Linked DNA regions of Drosophila melanogaster. The gene in region 1 interacts genetically with each later gene. Each region holds a gene or a part of one and is shown on either strand. Other genes may lie near its edges.

Region 1 (7,804 bases):
ATCTAGATTGATTGAGCACAACTACGAAGGTGTAAAACAACAATAGAAATCGTCGCAGCTAAGTTTTGGGTTATCTATCAAGTGGACTAAACTTTGCGAAAAATTTAATAAACGAAATAAAGCACATATATGTAAACAGCCGCCAAATATGCCGCGAATTCTTTTATTGTAAAATTGTAAATTTTGGAAACCGTGCAGCTACGAACGTTTGTGTATCACACAGGTTGCTTTTTTGACAATTGCTTCAAGACTCCTTTGATTTAACAAAGCGGAGAAATGTGCATAAAAACTCTAAATCGATTAGATTAGACAAAAACAAAGCCCAAGCTAACCCTTGATTAACCAAATGCATGCCGTCCGTATTAATAAAAACGTTTATATTTCAAGTTTTAAGTATATGTATAGCTTTTCCTTTCGTATTTGTGTATGTGGAGTTATGTGTTGTATGAGTTAGGAGCGCAGAATCTCGGCTACGTATACCTCGTGTGACTGGCTATCAATTATAGGGGCGAAGTAAACATAATTTGGAAAGAGGGGTTCAAACTCAATCTTCACTAATTACCGTGAGTCACCGAACTAAATATTAACTTAAAAGCGATTAACTATATGTAATTAGAAAAAAAACGCATTGTGTAAATATACGTAACTGTTTTGGTTTTTTAGCTAAACTAGACGATTAAACAAGATTAAAGAGTCAACAAATTGGTGTTTAGGGGGGAAAAGGAGTACTGGTGGGTCATACGATACAAATCAATGTACATAAACAGTATTGAAAATAATAGACAATGAGGTCGGGGTGAATCAACAACATGATGACTTTTCCGGCTCTGCTACGACGAGATTAAAGTCCAGACTATTGGGTCGCGAAAAGCCAGACTTGATGCCGTCCCATCCATCCTCCGCCTTATATTCGCCGGATCGAATGCGGGCGTACACCTCCTGGGTGACCATGCGAAATGCCTCCTCCACATTGGCACCAGACCGGGCCGATGTCTCAACGAAATGCAGACCGTGCTGTTTGGCAAATTTTTGTGCCTCCTCTGTGGTCACCTCCCGGTGTCCGCCCGCATTGATGAGGTCCAGTTTGCAGCCGACCAATGCGAAAACGGGGCGGTGGGGCTCAATGTGACGCTGTGCCTCCATCATCCACAGCGGTATGTGCTCGAAGCTGGCGTGATTCGATATGTCGTAGACCAGCAGCACGCCAACCGAGTTCCGGTAGTAGGACTTGGTGATCGAACGGAAGCGCTCTTGGCCAGCAGTGTCCCACAGCTGGAGCTTGATCTGTGTGCCGTCCTTCATTTCGATGAGGCGGGCAAAGAAGTCGACGCCAACTGTGGGATCGGATAACTGCAAAATGTAAATATTGTGTTATTTATGATTAGGTGGATTCTTGGGAGGCAGTAAAAAGAAACGCAGTTTAGAGCTGTAATGCTTTTGAGAACACTTTTGATTCCACACAATTCATGATATCTCTATGTTTTTAAATTTCCCGCGCAGTTATTTGAGTATCCCTGGTCCTATTTTGGACTTGTGTGTTGTTTTTGCTGCCTGCATTATCAGGCGAGCACACAAACATGCACACCAGCACACACACACACTGACAAGGTGACTAAGGCAGCATCTTTTTAAAATCCACTCCCTTTGTCTATTTTTTGTTGTATCTCGCCCAATGCAATCACTTAATTATGTAATGAACGCATTAACTGCATCTCACGAAGATCGCACAGTGGGCCAAGCGTCCAAGTACAGTGGCCAAAATCGTTGGACATACGCACCTCGGCGAATTTGCCGTCTGTGAAGAATTTGAGCAGCGAGCTCTTGCCCACGGTGCTGTCGCCGATTAAAATCAGTCGAAATTGATACTCGAAAATGGGTTCCACCATTCCGAAGCCGAATTCGAGGGATTTGTCTCTTGGAATTGAATCCGCAGCAAAAAATCTGCCTTCCCTTTGTAAAGTTTGATACGCAAATCGTTGATTTGCTTATGCTGCTCGTTTTTCTTCTTATTTCCTGCAGTTGTATTGCAAATCGAAACTTTCTGTTCTTCACACGATTACTGGCTTTGCAATGAGATATTTCCGGCTGTCGCTGGTGGTTGTTAAATTATAAATATTCGAGAATTCAAATTCCTTCGAATTTTGTTTTGTTTTGTGTTTTTTTCTCATATGCGTGCGCGTGTGTGTGATAATGACAACGTTGCCAGACCAGCAAAAGTAATCGATAGTAGCCACAATGAAATTATTTCATTACCATTATTAAACAGTTATATCTTCTAAATTATTTAATAAAAATAGTGTCCTCACATCAATTTGGCAGTTTTCAGATTTTTTAACAAGCTTAGATGTATTTTTCGGCGGTACACAAAAACTAGCTAGACTTGGCTTGAAAACGGTAACCGGCTAATGGCAACACCGCCAGTCTGGCACCGCCGCCCAATAGAGATGGTCAAAGAACGCGATTTCGCGTGACACGATGAATGCATACAAATGTAGTTAGTTTAAATTGTTCTGAGAAAATATGACAAAAAAAATAAAATAATCTTTCATATTAAGCTAATAAATTTACAATAATTACACAAAAAGATTTGGCCTTGTACAGTGCTTTGACACATAAATTAAGACGTGCGTGTTCATTTTCGTTCTAGGCTGTCTCGTGCAGAGAAAAACCCATCGCTAGTACGCACTGTATTTTCTTTTTACGTTTGTTTTCCGTGAACACCGTCCGCTTCGTATTTCACAGCACACAAATGTACAAACAAGCCGCCGGCCAATCAAAAGCAACAGCGGAAAATAAGATCCCTTTGTCAGCAACCGGCAACCGGAGTCGGTGAATCAGCCGGAGGCTCCGGGATACGGAATCCACCACGTTCTCCTCCATCTTCTTTGCCTACTCCTCCCCCGATTTGGTTACGGAACCAATATCATTACCGTTAATTATAGCCACAGCGGGGCGAGAGCATATACAAAATCTCCATATAGATGTTCAAGTTCGTGCTGAACGACGCCGCCAGCTACGTGCGATCCAATGTGCGGGAGTTCAGTTTGAATGCACTGCGTCTGCTGCCGCAACTGCCTCAATTGAGTCCATACGATGTAAGATTTGGGGTTCCTGGCAAGTGTCATTAGCAAGCTGGGCAGGGTTCGTAAAATGTAATCAGTTTGTAAGATCTTCGATCGAAAGTACTTCTTTACTTATTAATTATTTTGGATTTTTCCTATTGAAGCTACTTTTAGAAACCACAAATCTATGCATTACATCCCTAAGCCGTTTAAAAATTTAACTATAAAGCCTGCATAATTTTCTGAAGATCCAATAACTACTTTCAAGGGCTTTCAAGAAAGTCCCGAGTGTTTTCCTATAAACAAAGTGAACGACGTCGACCCGACTGTATTCGATTTTCCATATTCATATTTCAACTACAGCAACCATTTATAATGCCTTTACTGAGCAGTTAATTTCATTTGATCGTTTGCACTGGACAAGAGTCCATACCAAGCGGCTTAAGAACAAAATTTTTAGGAACCGAATAAGAATTAACTGATTAATAACTATTACCATGGGAACCTTTGTAATTCCCACATAAAGAGTAAGAATCTGTATTAATGTAAACTATTTTCACAGGTTAACCTTGTTCTGAGGGAGAACGAGTTCGTTTACAACTTTCCCGTGGATGGAGTCATCCGCAGCTATGAAACAAATCAGCTGGGATCAAACTGGCCCTGCGAGGATTCCCGCACGGAGGCCAGCTTCCTGCACCGCAACGGCTTCATTTGTGGCATTTTCGACGGGCATGCGGGAGCAGCATGTGGCCAAGTGGTGTCCAAGCGACTGCTTCGCTATGTTTCGGCGGCCACGCTGCCGCGCCAGGTGCTCCGGGAGCAGATGAAGCAGGGTGCCGACAGCCAGTCGTTCCTCAAGTGCCACAATGACAACGTGGACTTTGTTAGCATGATCAAGCCCATGTACGAGGCTAGTTTCCTCAAGTATGTCAATCAATTGTTAGAGACACCGCAACGGGATGTATCCAGTGAACTGGTGAACGCCTTCCTCCAGCTGGATGAAGAGATCTCGCAGGAGGCTCTGACCAGCAACGATGTACGCACCATGAACGTGGCCCTTTCTGGTGGGTGATGTATCCATTTATTTATGTATATAAGTTGCCATCCCGTTTCATACTTTCCTCTTCATAGGGGCTTCATTTCTAAACTATAAATGTGTTTATTTTCCAGGAGCCGTTGCCTGTTTGGTTCACATTGAGGGACTGCAGATGCACGTGGCCAGCACGGGTGATTGTGGCGCAGTGTTGGGCGTTCTTGATCCCCAGACGCAGCAGTGGCACTCAAAGAAGCTTAACATCGAACACAATGCTGACAATATGTCCGAGGTGCGTCGCATTCTGGCCGAGCATCCCAAGGAGGAGCATGAGACGGTGATCCGAAACGGCAGGCTGCTTAGCCAGCTGGCGCCGTTGCGTGCCTTTGGGGACTTTCGCTACAAGTGGTCCCAGGAAATAATGCAGCAGAAGGTGCTGCCGATGTTCGGCGTGCAGGCAATGGCGCCGAATTACTATACGCCACCGTACCTAACCGCCCGCCCCGATGTCCAGCAGCACGAATTGGGGCCCAACGACAAGTTTCTAGTCATCGCCAGCGACGGCCTATGGGATTTCCTTCCGCCCAGCGAGGTGGTCAGCTTGGTGGGGGAGCACATCAACTCCAAAAAGATCCTCGAACCGATGCGCCTGCCGGAAGGCGATACAACGCTGCAGGAAATCTCTCAGCAGCTGGCCGAAAGAAAGTCAGTTATCCTTTAAATGTATGCTTGTTATTTATTTATTTATTAATTACGCTTTTATTGCATTGCAGGGCTGGCCTCACTCGCAAACCCGTAGACCAAAACGCGGCCACGCATCTCATCCGGCATGCTTTGGGCGGCACCGACTATGGGATTGAGCACTCGAAGATCTCGTACTATTTGACGCTGCCCAGGGACGCGGTGCGTCTGTATCGCGACGACATCACAATCACTGTCATCTACTTTAACTCGGAGCACATTGCCAAGCTGCACAGCGATGTGGATCAAACGGAGGTCACTGCGCCGGTAGCATGATCTCTGCGAGAGTGCATATGTGTATATTTAACGAGCCTAACCTTCAGCCGAACTAGCCTAAGTGTTGCGTTTAAGTTTGTTTCATCCGCCATCGGACCTCGGACGACTGCTGCGCCAAATAAATCGCACGCGGAAAGCGAAAAATCACATATGCAAATTGTCTTGTTATTCATAAAGAGCGATGATCGGTCGTCTCATTTGTTAATAAAATAAAAATGACATGAAAATCCCAGCAAATATGTATATATCAAGGGTTATAAGCAATCAAGAAGGTTTCTTCATATATTTATTTCTCAAATAGTTCGTGATTTTGTAAAGTAGATACTATTTTTTCTTTTAAAGCAAGTACTTATATTAATTTTTGCTGTTTAAAATTTACAAGCAATTCGTAATGTATATAATCTAATTCAATTTAAAACTTCTTATTCTATAATTTACGCCAATTTTCTTGTTTTCAATTTAGTTCGGTCTATAAAACGGGGGGGAAACCAGGATAATCCTAAGACTTAGGTATAGATCATCTGTTGCAAACAAGCTATTCAACTTTAAGAATTTCGAATTGTGTAGTTTTCGAGAATCGATTTATTTTCTTTTATTTCCAATTACAATTGATTGTAACGCTGGCTAATATATATGTATATATATTTTTACTCGAATGGATGGTGTAGAGGGGTGAAGGATACAGGGATCCGGGGTTTCGTGGGTGGAGGATAAAGCTAATTGAAGAACGCGGAATCCACGAACTTGCAAACTGGTAAACGGTACGCATCCTAATCCTATACATGGAAAAAACTAGGCAACTACTCAGGGATCGTATTGGTTGTTTTTTGGGGAACATAACTAAAAACAGGTGTCCCTAATCCTTGCCATCCTGTTCGGCCGCTTCCTGCCGGCTGACACAGTTGAGGAACTCCATCTGAATGTGCGTAATCTGTGTCTTGCTGAAGCACTGCATCTTCTTCTTGAGAAAGTCAAAGAACAGATCGAGCTCATCACGCTTGGCCAGTGCCTGGGCCACTTGTTGCTGCTGATGCTGCTCATCCTCCTTGATGAGATTGTTAGAACTGCTGGCCGCCGCACTAACGGCCAATGGCTGGCCAGATCCGCAGTTCAAGGGGGGCATCTGAATGATCGTGGCCGTCGGCGTGGATGTGAAGGATGTGGTATTGCACAGCGCCGCTGCTGGCGTGGTAGTCACGGTAGTCGCATTCAGAGAAATGGCCGGCGTGCTTGAAATCGTCACACTGGTACTGGTCGCCTCTGTTACATCCACCAGGGAAATTTGCTGCGTTGACACTGAGGAATCATGACGATTGGTTGATCCACCGCCCCCAGCCGCAGGAGACGTGGTTGTTACCAGCGTGAGATTCTTTACCTTGCCATCGGTTACCACAGTCCCACCGGTTAGGACACTATTTGAGCCATTGCCCGATCCACCGCTGGCCGAGAACTGATGCTGGCTGGAGCGAACTGTCTGTGGCTCAATGTCCGATATGCAAAATTCGTGTGTATCGATGTAATGGAAACCCTTGCCGTGGGTAACATCGCTACCGCCGTCCACGGCGTCACCCACACCAATTTCGCAATCCACATGGGCACCGCTGGCCTCCTCGTACAGGCACACCTCTTCGTAGTCCACCTCGGCGCCGGTTGCCCCGTCCTCGTCCAGTTCGTGCTTCACAATATCCAGCTGACCGTCGTGGTCGACCACATCATCTTCGTCATCGACATCATCGACCACATCGTCATCGTGGGCAATCTGGGAGAGCTCAATGCTGGAGATGCTGCCGTCGTGCTGCGACTGATGATGATGGTGGTGGTGGTGGTGGTGCGGCTGGTGATGATGCTCCTGCTGGTGATGGCCATGATGATGGTGATGGTGGTGCTGCGATACAGTGTCATCCGAGACGCCCTCCTCGTAGGCGGTCAGGATGAAGGTTTCCGCCTCATCGCTGACCAGGGTGATCTGCGAGGTGCCGTGATGTGAGGAGAGCGTGGCGGTATCGTGATCCGATTGCCCGTCATCGTCCATCACCTCGTCGTCGTCATCGTCCACATGCTGTTTCAAATGCAGCATAGCTCCAATGGGCAATGTGGTACTATTCGCGCCTCCAATGCCTCCACCGGCGCCGGCAACCCCACTCGTCTCATAGGTGATCTGTGTGTTCCGGTGCGATTTCAGTTTCGGCTGGTACACCTTCGACAGGAAGTCCAGCTCCTTGGCGTAGCGCCACTTGGATAGCCGCCCTTCGATGTACTTGGGCGTGCGCAGACGGTACTGGTGGAAAGTGTCCCGCAGGTTCTTCCACTTACGACGCACCTCCTGCACCGTGTACTTGTCTGGAAGAAAGAAAGAGGTAGTATAAATATGAGCGGGGTTTCAAAGGAATCGTATTCCTTTTACAGATAATTGATACAAGCTAGAACCTCTTCAAAGGCATCACATTTATGAAAACGTTTCTAAGTAACGATGAAATTATGAGTTGTGTTATAGTAGCCGGCGCCAGAACACTAGCCTATCAATACAATATGCATGTGGTATTTAAAACCAACTTTAGCGGAAGCTTATATTAATTCTGGAAGAAGGCTAATAGTCGGACATGAAGCAGGCCATGACTAGCACTCACTTCCTATCTGCTGGGCCACCTCCTGCCATCCGTTGAGGACATCGGAGCGGCGTCGCTGGTTCGGC
Region 2 (7,804 bases), on another chromosome or scaffold:
TCGAAAAATTGGAAAAAACATACTTCAATTTTAGTATAAATATATCTACATATATGGCTTTATAATCAGCTAAAAATCCAATCTCAGAAGCGTACAGTTTTCATAAAAATTCCTCTTTAAGAAGTTATAAGCAATCGAAATGAGCATTTCCCAGTCGAATCAATTGAACTGTTATCGTATCGAATATATCCCGTATATGACGCATAAAATTCCTATCAAAACCTTTGCAAGTAACGCACTTCCACGAAATCGAAATAATCGCGCCGAGTTAAAGTTAAAACAAAGAAAAGAAATTCCAACCAATCAGTCGGTCAGTCAGTCAGTCAGTCAATCAGTCGGTCAGTCAATCAGTCATTTAGTCAGGCGAACGGCTCAAGTGCTGAAAAGTTTATTGCACTGCGAGCGTCGGACTTTTGCTATGGCAAATATTGTTTAATACCATTTTTAAAAATAAAATTTACTGATTAAATGTGCAGCGACGACAACGACAAAGTCGACGAACGTTGACACAATGGCGGTCCTACCCCAAGACGAAATTATTTGAGCACTCTTGTTTTAATGGGACAATAAACGGACTGTAGCTATAGAGCTTCTATAGCAATAAGGCGGGAACAGAGTTCAGAGCCGAGACTATATTCCGGCGCCTATGACCATCGGAATCGGAATATTGAACGTCAGCATCACCTCTATCATTAGCACGAGCAGGAGTGTGGTTTGAACGGTTTCCCTTATCAGCATCATTTGATTTTCCCGGTGATCGCCCTTGTTCCATACCAGATACTCATTATCCAACGCGTCCTGCAGCGAACAGTCCATGTATCCGTATGGATACATCATTTGCACGGTGATACGCCATATTAGAATAAAGAATATACTGGGACTGGGAATGAGGAAGTTTCTTACAGGCCAACGACTCTGATCCTGCATACTTCTTAACTTACGCCATGCTCAAGGGCAATCCGCTCATCCAGCCTGTCTTTGGTAATTTAAAAGTACTAAAATAGTGGGGAAACACTTATTCCAATGCCTACTTATCTACATAAGTTGGTAATATATGCAATATAATACAAATGTTAAATTACTCATCATACAACGTATTTTGTACATATATACAAAGTAGATAAAAGTCAAGTAAAATGTGTGGCAATACATTTTACATGAAGGCAACCAAGTTGACATGTAAATTGGTTTGTGTCCAAGCTGTGTTCAATTCAGTAGATTTAATAGTGAAGCCATTTTAAAAGGTACATATGTATGTGTCTTCAATCCAACGTTACCTTCAAATGGAGCAGCGTTGACCATGGCCCACAGAGAACATCATCCACAGTAGGGTTCATCGTGATACCTTCCAGGGCCTGAAAAGCATCCACATAGGACAGGTCTTGGAGCTGCCTGCCAAGTTGACCGTGCTTGCACCAACCACTGACCCATAGCCGCCCGCATCGGCGGATCAGCAGAGTGTGACGAGATCCAGCAAACACCCTCAGCGGTGCGCAATCATCGTTGCTCTCCCCGCTTTGGGAGCAGGCACATTCGGGCAGATCTTGCAACTGGGGCAGCGGAAATACAGTGGGCTCTTTGAGGACGCCACCGGGTTTCATCACACGCAATCCCAGCTGACCGCTGCAGTTGAGGCCCCAGGTGTAGAGGTCTCCAAAGGCGGATATGGCCGCACTGTGCCAACCACCGGCAGCAATTTGAGTTATCTGCAAGGCACTTGAATGTGTGACAGACAAGATAAGTGGACAAGTCAAATATATATATACCTTGATCCCCGCCAGCGCCTCCAGCAATTGAGGCGTCTCCTCCACTCTCAGTTCCGCCAGACCCAACTGTCCGCGTCTGTTAATTATGACATAGAAGTGAAAAAAATTGTTAGGAATTAGAATAAGAAACTCGCTAATATCTAAATATCTTAAAACCAGAATATGTAAATATTTATAGGCTGCATTTCTGCACAGCCAACGCATTCATTATGACCTTTACTTACAGTCCATTTCCCCAGGTGAACACGTCGCCATTGGCATTGAGGAGCACGGCATGTTCATGGCCGCATTGGAGCTGCTTCACCCGAAATTGGCGCTCGGAAAACTGATGCAGGCAGCTGGGAATGCTGTAGACACAGTTTTCCGAACTTATCGCTACGTTTATGTGCGATCCACATGCAATATGCTCTATGATCGGCGACGAAGGCGCCTTGGCAGCCCCAAAGATAGAGCGCTTTGTACCCGAATTGGATCTGGGAGCAGCTTCTAGTCTAACAGCCACCAGTTCCGCTTGCAGTTTTGGTTGCACCCTGTAAAGCTGACCGCTTTGGAGTAGCACCAGGCAGTGGGAATCGGCAGCGGCAAGGGCCCTTATGTTCCCCGTTGCTTCCAGGGTCACGCACTCATTTGGGCCATCATCCAAGAGCCCACGCAGGCACAACTTCCGGCCAAAAGCGAGGGCCGCATACCGCCAGCCGATCGAAATCGTGCACTGGTTCTGAGTCGAGACTGGCGCATTTAATTCTGTAATAAAGGCAGAACTGAATTAGTACACATACATACATACGGTGGAAGCCCCCTAAAAAGATTTTGTCTAAGTTATTAGTTTATCAATTTCATTGCTATGTATGTATTTGGCCAATCAAAAAATGCAGTTGGCACCAAGTACCGATGTGTAATTTACCCTATAACTGTCAATTAAAATGCAGTCTATATCCAATGCATGAATATGAATATGCAAAGAATTTTATGGATTAATGTCCTACGTATATATTCACCTGAAAATCACTATACTCTATTTTAAACATGAAATCTTAAAAATTCATCTGGCTTAAATCGGATTCAGTTTTATAAGATAGAATTAGAATTGTAAAAATGGTATAAGCTGCATGCATCCCAGCGAGTTCTATAGCGAGTGCCTACTGTAGCAACTAAGTGATCGGCGGCTTTTGTTGCCGGTTACAAACCGCTGAAGCCGGCTGCGCAGTCGACGTCGCCGCTTACACATTCATGCTGGCCAAATGCGTTGAAGCCCGTAAATAGCAGCGGCATCTTCTTCCCGTTCCCGTTCCAATTCGAATACCGCTCGACCCGCACCCCCACCACGTCCCCCGTCTAACAATCCTTTGCAGCGGTTGCTCGGCGACCGTTGGCGCTGTTGTTGTTGCTGTCGGAATTTGTTAGAGCGTTGAGCGAATTTTGTTTTCAGTAGTTGTGCAGCGACGAGCCAGTGATGTTGTGTTTGGTGGTTGAAGTTGATCCAATTCTCAAGTTATCCGACTTTTCCTGAGTTGACCACCAGAAGACACCGTCTTGGGCGGCCAGAGCAGATTGCCGAATCGGGGGGATACAGATACGGATATAGTGGTCGGAGATCGCACCGCCTCCTGGCTGTTATTCTCGCGTTAATTATACGATGGTAGGTTGTCTCCCGGTTCCGTAACAGCTAATTAAGTGCCTTGTTGTTCCGTAATTGCACGATTTGTTTTCATTTTGCGATCGTCGCCATGGAAACCCGCCTCAAAAACTATACAACACTTTTTTGTTAGAGCAGAACTTTTTTCAGCACTACTTCGAAAGTTTTAGGCGCGTAATTATCGGTATTCGAAAAAAAAAACCAAATTGGTGGTTCGGAAAACAAAGAAACATAATAAGCTTTTTGTAGCACACAATGGAAAAAAGAGTTCTTAATTTTTAAGTGAACATGGCAAATTTTTTTACCAATAAACATTTTTATTTCATTCAACCTTGTTGTCGTTTCTTTTGGCGAGCCCTTATCTCAATTCCAACAATATGTTTGTAAAGTTCACCTGTTGATAAGCTTTTTGCATTCTATCACTAAGAGAACGTTTTAATTGCAAGTTTTTTTTTTACAACTTTACATCGTCTTTATTGATAACAACATTGATAATAACAAAACATGTGTGTTTACAAGCATATGTTGCATTTATAAAAACACATATATTTATTAACAATTTTACAAGTTTATAAACTACCAAATGTAGATTGTTATTCAAAATTTCAAAGATAGACCAGAGGATACTACCGAGTCTAGACTAATACTGGTAATCAGGTGCTAGAATAACACACCTTCAAAAAACTAAGTAGAAAAAACAACAACTTAATAGCTTACAAATTTTAGGGTCTGCTATCGCTGTTGCGTAAACTGAGACCCAATCCGGAAAAGGAGGCTCGCATCCTGCTCCTAGGATTGGATAATGCTGGCAAGACCACGATACTGAAGCAGCTGGCATCGGAGGACATAACCACGGTGCGTATAAAGGCGGCGAACTTCTTCCGTTTTCCCCATAAAATACGGAGTGAAATCCCGCAGGTAACGCCCACGGCAGGATTTAACATCAAGTCCGTGGCAGCCGATGGTTTCAAACTGAATGTATGGGATATTGGTGGTCAATGGAAGATACGTCCATATTGGAAGAACTATTTTGCGAATACTGATGTGCTGGTAGGATTGTTATAGATCTAAACTCAATTCTGTTAGCTAATAGTTTCGATTATTTCAGATCTATGTAATTGACTGTACAGATCGGACTCGCCTGCCCGAGGCGGGTAGTGAACTATTCGAAATGCTCATGGACAATCGGTTGAAGCAAGTTCCCGTGCTGATTTTCGCTAACAAACAGGATATGCCGGATGCCATGAGTGCCGCCGAGGTGGCCGAGAAGATGAGCTTGGTGCAACTGCAGGGACGAACCTGGGAGATCAAGGCCTGTACCGCTGTGGATGGCACTGGACTAAAGGAGGGAATGGACTGGGTCTGCAAGAATATGAAGAAGTAATCTAAATTATAGTAATCGTCGCCTGTTAAGTTGTCCCTAAGAACTAAATATACGTACCTACATTTCAACTCACCAAAAGTATCACAATCTCTAATTGTTGGATGAATCTTCCTTTTTTCACGTGTATCTTTAAGTATAAACTGAATATATAGTTGAGAAGGCTATGCTAGTTAAATCATTCATTTTTACCTGACATCTAAACTGAAATCAAATTTCGATCCCCATGTGTTTTTACGGACCTGTTTCGTTCATAAAAAAGATCCTGCCCGCAGGCTCTCAGAAATCATGTCTGCTCATTTTAGGATTAGACAATGCGGGAAAATCCACGTTGACAGACCGCCTGGCGGAAATTTTCAATGGAGAAGTAAGGCCATATATGTGATGGTCCTATCTCCATTTGATAATGTTAGCATAAACTATTTGCAGTCCAAGGAATCTAACAATCAAGTTAGTGAATGGAGCTTCACCATAAATAATTTCAGAGTCCAGTTGTGGGATATTAACGGAGAACTGAAGAATCGCCAGATCTGGCCAAAGTATTATAAGAAAGTGAATGTTTTGGTGAGAGGAGAACTTATATAGAACTTATATAGACTCGACTACAATCCCTGAACCGTAGATTTTTGTACTGGATAGCACGGATGCACTGCGGCTAAGCGAGGCGCGATGTGTTTTATGCGATGTTTTGATGCACCAGGAACTGGATAATGCTCCGCTGCTGATCGTGTCCAACAAGAAGGACGCCTCGGGATCCCTGTCCATGTCCACGGTTATCGATTTGATGGGCCTATATCGCCTAACTGGTCGAGATTGGACTTTTGAGGAATGTTCCATGCGGACAGGGTCTGGTGTTCAGGTATATGTTGTGTTCTATATTCGAAATCTGATAATTTAACTTATACTATCTGGGTAGGAGATCGTAAATTGGATTAACGAAAAGATCAACAATAACAGGAAGTGATTTATCACATTTTTATATTTTCAAAAATTTGGCAACCTATTAACTAATATATTAAATATATATTTAATGTAATTTAGCAACAATAGTTTGTTACACTTGTATTATAGAAATTATTTGCCTCAAATAATGATTCATTTAGTTTGCTGATCGGCAAACACTCTTTTAATTAATACATTAATACAGCCATTTGCTAATCAATGATTTTTGACATTGACCTCTGTCAATAATTGAAAAACTCGTGGCTGAGTAGCAACATTGTGAGGACAAAGCCCTTTTGCATTATCAGTTATTAGTTGTTGTTGCTTTTGGGGCTATAAAAGGGTTAGTTATAGAATTGACTGGCACAGTTTAACAGCGATCGTTGAAATGAACTCAACTCTGGTGATTCTACTTCTTTCGGCTCTGGCTTTGGTGCAGGCCAGGAATATTCGTTGGTCTGAGGAGGACAACTCGTCCCAAGGTCCAAGTCTAAGCCACCCGCATCCGCACTCTGTCAACTGGCCCTGTGATGTGGGTCACTTCCCAGAGGCATTCATTCTAATGCACAAGGTGGATAAGCGACTGGAACGAATTGACAACGAGAGTACCAAGAAACGGATCGAGAACTACGCCGTCAATCAGTTGAGGCAGTGCATCTTGGATGGCCAGATGGACGTGCACTGCGTTAGGCGTTCGATTGGATACACCATGTCATTCATTCACCACCAAATGAGCCAGGCGAATGGAATGTAAGCTCACGACTTGGTGATCAGTTGATATAATTTAAGGACATTCCTTTAGCCACCTTTTTTTTGCAAAATGCATTTTAATAATCAAATCCTTTCAAACGAACTAATTAGTAACAAATTATCAAAATAAATTAAGTTTAAATAATAATTAATTTAAATTCAGCTTTGTCTTATGGGTTTGGATTCCCATTCGTTTCGCGCGAAGCTTGAGGAGCAAGCTTGTGGCACTTTTCCTGCTCGGCCAGCTGGCGCTCCTTTTCCATTTTGGCGAACTTGCTGCCCATATAGAGCTGCTCCTTGAATCGATTCTTTCGCCGCTCATCCATACTGTATCGTCGTAGCATATCCCGTCTGTCCACAATCGACATGCAGATGTCCTGGCAATCCCGCGACGGCTGGCAGAAGCTCCACGAACCGAAAATGGTGTCCACACAGCCGCAGGTGCGACAATAGCCAACAAAGTGACCGATCAGATTGGAATTCGCCTTGCGGAAGGATAGAGAAAGTGGCCCGCCCAGGATCATCATAGCTTGTCCCGAGAAATACCAATCGGTGAGATTATCCAGGAGATCGTGGGCCCTCGGCGGCACTGTCTCCTGCACACTAATATTTAGCTTAATGCCATGGTAATTGGGAGTTTTCAAGTCGGCCGCATCCTTCAACTGCGTCCTGTTCATCTTGACGCACTGTCGTCTCGTCCTGCGATAGGTACGACCTTTGTGTTGGCTACAGGTCGGCTTTTCCGCTTCTTCGCCATCTGAATTTGTTGGCGGGGTCTTGATATTTATGCGAATGCCAAGGACTTGAGATTCCCAGGATCCGTTTAGATCGCAGGGCGCACCTGAAGTTTTAAACTTTATATACATACATGAATCTTAGCTCTACCACCTATTCTTACCATCAGCTGGATCCACGAAGCAGCAGGGCAGCTTTCTCTCCTCCTCCTCTTCCGACGATTGATTGCTTGACTTGCTTGCCTGAATGCTCTCCAATCGTTCCAGGATCTTGTCTAGAACCGGCGAAATCCCCAGCTGGTCCTCTGGCTGTTGATGCGGCGTCTGTGATGGTGGACTTGGGACTTGGCACATGATCTCTGATCCCTTTCGGAAACTACTTCCGATCTGACTTGCTTTTACACGATATTCATAATTTCAAATAGATTTACAGCGATATACTCACTGACTTACCTGATGGTATGCGATTGGGTGCATATCTCAATCCACCATCGGCTGCATTTTGACCGGTTCCCACAATCCTTTGAGCCACCTCCAAAGGTGATAGATTCATTTGAGTGGCCATGGTGTCAATGACATTACTACCGCCCAGCTG

Evidence for each region.
Region 2: of Rab39 (region 1) and dnd, changing one suppresses a phenotype caused by changing the other (phenotypic suppression), as found in Drosophila melanogaster (one study listed by BioGRID).

What each region holds. Positions count from the first base shown.
Region 1 is NC_004354.4:7,729,310-7,737,113, reverse strand, and holds Rab39 (Rab39), read right to left. Parts: upstream 2,192-7,804; 5' UTR 1,887-2,191; coding exon 1,779-1,886; intron 1,351-1,778; coding exon 802-1,350; 3' UTR 358-801; downstream 1-357. Other genes in the region: Pdp (pyruvate dehydrogenase phosphatase), read left to right, coding at 2,982-3,095, 3,625-4,126, 4,233-4,800, 4,869-5,112; CG12155 (uncharacterized protein), read right to left, coding at 5,969-7,452, 7,740-7,804.
Region 2 is NT_033777.3:21,882,741-21,890,544, reverse strand, and holds dnd (dead end), read left to right. Parts: upstream 1-3,189; 5' UTR 3,190-3,402; coding exon 3,403-3,405; exon of another isoform or gene 3,406-3,516; intron 3,517-4,128; coding exon 4,129-4,257; intron 4,258-4,320; coding exon 4,321-4,452; intron 4,453-4,510; coding exon 4,511-4,786; 3' UTR 4,787-4,869; downstream 4,870-7,804. Other genes in the region: CG43844 (uncharacterized protein), read right to left, coding at 631-927; CG6678 (uncharacterized protein), read right to left, coding at 1,278-1,706, 1,767-1,842, 1,991-2,510, 2,954-3,038; CG17819 (uncharacterized protein), read left to right, coding at 5,010-5,150, 5,213-5,347, 5,406-5,642, 5,700-5,747; fit (female-specific independent of transformer), read left to right, coding at 6,114-6,479; CG31465 (uncharacterized protein), read right to left, coding at 6,646-7,316, 7,374-7,604, 7,663-7,804.